Drosophila melanogaster: one gene and its partner. The protein of the gene in region 1 interacts with the protein of each later gene in a pairwise test. Each region holds a gene or a part of one and is shown in the gene's direction. Other genes may lie near its edges.

The links.
Region 2: the proteins of CG17217 (region 1) and oc interact in a two-hybrid assay, tested with the Drosophila melanogaster proteins (one large-scale study listed by BioGRID).

Annotation. Positions count from the first base shown.
Region 1 is NT_033779.5:12,168,745-12,171,784, forward strand, and holds CG17217 (uncharacterized protein), read left to right. Parts: upstream 1-1,805; 5' UTR 1,806-1,912; coding exon 1,913-2,155; intron 2,156-2,212; coding exon 2,213-2,452; 3' UTR 2,453-2,488; downstream 2,489-3,040. Other genes in the region: CG6583 (uncharacterized protein), read right to left, coding at 2,954-3,040.
Region 2 is NC_004354.4:8,648,916-8,652,848, reverse strand, and holds the start of oc (ocelliless), read left to right. Parts: upstream 1-2,167; 5' UTR 2,168-2,474; exon of another isoform or gene 2,475-2,755; intron 2,756-3,933. UniProt on the Drosophila melanogaster protein: Transcriptional regulator involved in pattern formation and cell determination in the embryonic CNS and larval imaginal disks.

The DNA of each region.
Region 1 (3,040 bases):
TAAAGATTGCTCAATAGAAATCGATGGGGGGCAGGGCAGAACCACCCTGGTGGAGGATGCCATTGAATTTAATTTCCACCTAGCGGATACGGAGAAGGGGTTGATTGTCCAGGAAGACGAGCGGCCAGGATCAGATGAGGAGGAGGCGGCCTTGATCGCACAGTTTCGCCGCCTCTTTGCGCCCATTTTGGATGATAGCTTGAATCTGTACTACCAACTCAACGATTTGGATGACACGGAGCACGTGAGGATCCATCAAACGGTAGCCCAGATGAATGATCTGACCAGCAGCGAAGAGGAGACAATGGTTACCCAGGTGAACAGTCCATCGCCACCGCCGGTGGGTGTGGAACTTTTGCTTCCAATCTCCAGCGACAGTTCGACGGCCAGCAGTTCTCTGTACGCCATCCACACTCCGTCTCCGGCTCATCCCAGTGGTGTGCTCCTGATGCCCCAGAATTTGGAGTCACCGTTGCTGTCCGGCAGTGATGCCATCACAATCACCGAGCAGGTAGAGCTGCATAATCCGCCACACCATCTGCAGCTACTCGAGGATGAGAACAACACATCCTGTTCGCTGTCATCGAATCTGACGGATAGCAAGACCCTGGATGGTCGCACCCCAATCGTCGTCTGATGGCTTCCATCTCCAATCCCGTTCTGCTTAACTTGTGATTATGTTTACACAGTCTTAGAGCTACAACAAACAGTTAGCGAAAAATAAGCCGCTTAATGTTTAATATAGTCTTAAATAATGTTTGTGTGTATGTGTCTGTCAAAGTTGTTTAAATATTAAAGGCGTTTATGCGGTAAGTCAAATCATTTCGAACATCATTTCATTGCTTAAACTATTTCAAATGAAGCTTCCAATATTTATAGAAACCCAGAAATTTTAGCAAATATCCCACCAAATACATTTTTCAAATTTCTTAGAACTTTTACTTATTTTCTCAAATGAAACAATGATATATACATTTCTAAAATATCTTTTCACAAAACTATTTTATTTGTCGAACGCCTGTCTTAATTCACAATTCGAACATTGCCTCTTTTCACTTTTAAGAACGTTTCATCCTTAAACTTAAACTTTCCAGCCGCATAAACGCAAACTTCATGTGTAACCTTTTATTTTCGCTTTTTAGTCATATCCACCCAAATCATTATCCCATCATCCATGATCTCCATCGTTTTTGAAACAGCAGAAAAGTATCAACATTGAGCAAATTTTTCTCACTTCGTTCGGATCGACAGAAGGATGTTGTATAGAAGAAAGTAGGCAGCCAGTTGGTCTGATGGGTCTCATAGAGTCCATCGGAGCCCCTAGGGACTTGGCATTAATAAATCTCATTTAGCACTCATGCACCTAGCGAAATAAATTGCATTTTCCTTGTTCTCGTTGCACCCATTCATAGGACAAATATTATTTGCTTCGTAGCTAAATTTACATGATTTTCATGGTCATAATCTTAAAACAAAAAAAAAAACCTACAAATAGGCTTAGCACAGGAGTCGATTTTAGTGTACAAGATGAAAATATATACTGATATTATAAATGAATAAATTGACATTTTAGCGTACTAGTTTAAGCTGAAAAAGTGTTAACAGACGAGCGCAATTCTTCTTCGTAAAGTTGGGCAATACGTATAATGAAAGGTATTTAAAAACATAAAATAAACATACACATATAATATAACTGAATCCGAAACATTCAACTTTTATTGAGTAAGTTAAAGTTAAATTATTATATTGTAATGGAAACAATATGGCAAAATCAAAAACATCAAGAATAAATGTTATACAAATGAAGCAAGTGTGTTACTTTATTTTCCTTAAACTACAAGCACGCCCGGTCATTTTCATTCCGATTTGGATATACTTTCTAAGTTTATACAAATCCCCAAAATTTCACATTATGAGACAGCAGCTGCTGGACGAGGAGTTCGAGAATCTGCGTCGCGTAGCGCTGGCCATATGCGAGAATCTCGGGAGACCAAAAGATCGGGAGATATGTCGAAGCACTCTAGAAGATCTGGCCAAGTTCCGCCAGGGATCGTCGATTAGGATTAAGGAGAATGTGCATAAGTTCCTGATGTTCTATCTAAAAGTTCTGAGATGGTCGTACAAGAATCAGCCAACGGATCTATATCGCAAATGGGTTAATTACATTTTTCAGTTAAGTAGCGATCATTTAGTAAATGTTTCAATTTTTCAGTATGGACAAAACTTTGGCAAGGACCCAAAGTCTGCCCCATCGGCCGGCAATTCCGAGGATGAACAGCGTGTTTGGTTGGAGGAGGGCAAGTCCTTTTACGCCATGAAAACATTTGAAGATGGCTCCACAGTTGTTTACTCAGCGGTGGTTAAGGATGCGAGAGCTGGTTGGTCGGAAAATGGTCTGAAAACTCTGATGGAAACGCAAGTGGGCTGCGCTTTGAATCGAAATGAAAATTGAATTGTTTAATACTCTTAATATAGTATATATTTTCATATTCTGTGTGTACAATTTACTGGTTTTTCGATATGGTAGTGGTTATTCGGATATGGCAGGTAAATACTAGTAATAAATATGTCAAACGTAAGCATTTTCGGAATGGTCATTTTTTAAAAATCAAATGTAGTAAAATCATTTTGAAAACATGTTCATTAAGTTAACTATATAAAAAGTACAAGCGACATAGGAAATTTACAATTGTTTAACGTTACTTTTCATTTAAATATTTTAGCTAGTTTTGGTCTGTAAATTTACCTGCCTCTTGTTTGGATATTGTAGATAACTAATGTACCTATACGATTAAAATGTTTTCAACTTTTCGACTTAATTATAGGCAGGAAAAAGGTGGACGGAATGTGTTTTTGATATCAAAAGTCAATCCTAGCTTAGATATCATGTGGAGTGGCGAAAAGGCACTTATTGCGTGTTTCGTTTGTGGTGAGGATAAGCCTGGTTTTCCTATTAACTTCTAAATATTCTGGAGGCAACGCCAATCAACAGGAGTCCCAACAGAAGCTGCAGGGATCCGTGCATTTGAACTAAGCTGGA
Region 2 (3,933 bases), on another chromosome or scaffold:
AACTTTTCGCGGCTGGCGACTCGCGAACAAACAAAACAGAAAAAAAAAATAGGGAGAAAATAAAAAATGATGGCAAAAGTACACCCACGTGTACATATGTGCGCTCAACTTTGAGTATTTTCATTTTCAAATCGGTTTTTTACTTGCTTTGCGTTTTTTATTCGCTGACGCTGAAAAAGGCCGAACTAAAAAAGATACAATTTTCATGTTGGCAGTTGTAGTTTTTATTCGTATGTAATGAAATTTACGCGTTAGTTACTTACATATACTCCAAAAGATAAGACCTATAATTGTTAAAGTCTTATTTCAATTTTGGTTTTTCACAATTGAAATTGAAGTGAAAAAAAAAACAAACTTCCTATTGAAAGTTTAAATTAACTATTTGTAAATTGTGTAAGTAAATTACAGTTTTTGTCTAACTAAAACTTTTTCATTTGCGCGCAGTTTTTGCCTCCGTGAATTTTACTCCAAAAACATTTTACATTTCCCCGCAACATTTTTCATGAAAATTAGGTTTTTGTTTTATTTCATTTCGGGCTCTCTGTACAATTTTTTTTTCGAGATTTCCCGTTCGTTGTGTCCGAGTCCCAATTTGTGCGCTAAGCTTTTCCCCTCGAAGGGTAATTGCCTCATGTTTCATCTACACATCAATTAGCCGCAACAATTTAATTTGCCCGCCTGGAAATGGGAAAAGTGCGGTAGCTGGATAAAAAAAAAATAATAAGCACACAGCAATTTCAACAAGAAAAATCCATAAAATATTTGTGCAACATTTTCTCGCCGCCCAAACCTGCGGGCCGTTAGTGCGAGTGAGATGGCCAAACAACTGTCGTCAGCTATTTCAAATTGTCATAAAAATTTGATAAGGTTTTTTCCGCTGCTCCCCCAAACCACCCAACTCTGCGAATTTTTATTCCTGCGTCAGCTACAAGGCAAAAATATAACAGAAAAAAATGTTTGGGCACAAAAAGTGTTGGTTGCTCGAAAATATCATTTACAGTTAGACTGCCATGGTAGAGAATTTATAAATAAGCTAATTAATAATTATAAGCTAGTTGAAAATTAAAACTAACAAAACCGCTTTGCAAAACTAAATCATAATTATAATAGCTATATCTATTGAAATCATTTATTAAAGACCTCTTTTGAGCAATTCTTAGCCCACGAATAGCAAACTAGACTTTAAACCCAAATCCACCTTAAGTTTCGATTCTTTTCGCCTCACTTTGCGTAAATGATAATTGAACAATGGGGGCCGCCCATTGGGGCGAAAGAGAGGGGGCGTGCCAAGTGTGAGTGGCTGGCTCTCCCCATCCCTGTCGCGCTTTCGCCGCTGGTGTTGTGTGTGCATGGCAATTTGCGACGCAGAAGTAGAAGAGGAGGAAGCTAAAGAAGAAGCAGTAGCAGCAGTAGCAGCAGCAGTAGCAAAAGTAGCGGTACTGACCAGCGTCCTTTAAACGCCCGTCGCCACCTACCCCCGTTTCCTTATCTTTCGCTGTTAGCTAACAAATTTTTGCGTTGTTTTCGCTGTCTTGTCGTTTTCATTAAAATTTCATTGCTGCCGCGCAAAAATACGAAGGTACGTTGTTGCTTTTTTTTCCTCCTTTTATGACTATGTATTTTTTGCTCCTCGTTTTTTGCTCTTGTGGCAACAACAAAGTTGTTGAACTGAATTTTTTTGGGGTGTGGTCCCACACTCAAACGCACACCAGCAACGTACACACACGCTCATACACGCGCGCACACACACGCGCAGCAGCAACAACACAGCGGTAAATACAGCTGCTCAGCAAACGGTACCACCAGCAGTTGTCTCGCTCCCACTCAGTCAGGTTGTAAGCGGCGTGCGAGAGAGATGCCGCAAGAGAGTGAGAGAGAGAGAGAGAGCGAAATACTGAACGACTGGAACGGAGCGAAACTACGGCTATCTCACTCTGGCGCGCGGTAGAGAGCCGGGCAGCCATTGCTAAAAGCAGGCACTCACTCGCTCTCCCTCTCGTTTCCACCACCGCTGGTGTTTGTTTGTTGTTTTTTTCCTGCTTCTTCTTCCAACATTTTTTCTTGTTGTTTTTCTTTTTTCGCAGACTCTGGTCGAACGACTTTTGCTCTGCCCGCTGCTCGCTGCGCTGCTGCCGCCGCTGCCATCGTCCGTGGAAGGTGTACCGCAATTCATTTCCAGAGTAACTTTCGTGCCGCTCGGGTTGTTTTTGTGCGTCGTCCGTCGCCCAGTTGCTCAGTTGCTCATTCGCCCCGTTCGCCGCTCGTTCGATCGCTCTCGCCACTCGCCGCGTTCGCCGATAAGCAAGCAAGCACCAGCGCAAGCCAATAACAACAATCAATTCGCCGTCGCCAAACCGAATCAAATCAAATCGAAGCAAACTAAACCAATCAAACACAAATAAACAAATATCAACACGAGAAGCTATAGCTAACACAGCTATAGAGAAACAAAGAGCCCCAGAGGAGAATACTAAGTAATACAGAGAGATATATCCTTTTGGATATAACGCAGTGCCAAGTGACGAGAATCTGTTTTTTTACCGTGTTGCCAGTGCTAAACCATAAACATCGCCCAAAAAACATACATCTCTGGAATACAATATTTATATATATATAAATATACATATATATCTTTATATATATGCATGTGTAAAATATACTCATGCCATAACCATATAGTAGTTGGATCCGAAAACAAGTCACCATTGGAATACAGCACCGTTTTGCTTCTAGTTTTGTTTGTGTTTTTTTTTCGGTGAGTGCGATCCGCCGATATCGAGAAATCGGTAGCAATCTATATATCCAGCAAGGAATGTGGAGCCGAGAGATAAGCACGGATTACATGGGGAATCTGTAGACCTAAGTAGTTTTTGGGGGAGCGGGAATCTATCTTAGGGATTACTCTTATCAACTTGTTTATTTAGCAGAGATATTAGGTCACAAGTCTTACATTATCTATGACATATTTGAAATACACTCTTTAAACTTGGAATAATATTGAAAGATCTAACACGCTGTAAAGCTTAATTATTTTCTTTTTCGTTATCGCTTCAACTTTATTCTTGAGCCAATCTTCATTCTTCATTATAAAGCTCAGACTTTAGAGATATGTTATAATATGTTTGGTTCACTATTTTCGATTAGCCGAACTTGACAGATCTTTTGTTTTTCACTTACACTTCTACATATATTTACAAGGTTAAAATGTTCTTCCAAATGCTATAATCAACCGATATTATTTTGCCACATATACTAGTCTTTATTTAGCTTCAGATTCAATGGATCTTAGAAGTCTTTAATTGGAATACTATTCATTGATTTCGGGGACTCCCAAGTCCAACAATAGAGTTACCTATTCCATGCCCGAAACTTTGTTTCAGTTCCTTCAGCTCTTCGTGATATGATGGAGCCTTTTTTTTAAAAATCTGGTTTCGGTCAGGAAATTTCCGCCTATGACTAATGTGCTGATCGTAATGTGAGAAAATGCGCGTTTCGGAGATTCGTTATGATTTTCATAATTTTAATGGGCATATTAAGGCCGCCTCCCCTAATTAGGCAAAACAAAAAGAAGCCAGCAAGAGCCGACCAAATCGATACGAGAAATGTGATATAGAAAAAAGGCTAACAAAATGATAGGGCCAACGGCGAAGAAACCCCAAGAAAATCAATACTAGATACAATAGAAGACAGCCGACGGACCCGTTCGGGTCACATTATTCACACATATTCCCAACATCCCCACATCACCACATTCCCACTTCCCGATGTTAGCGATCGGATCGTCTAATTTCAAAGCGGCGGCTATAAATTAAAATATCTGAATAATACGTTGACTCCTCGCTGGCTACTTTGTTGTTCTGCTTTATTATTAATTTGCATATGGTTTTCTAACATAAAGCAACTGAATATTAAATATGCAAGTCGATTCATTTT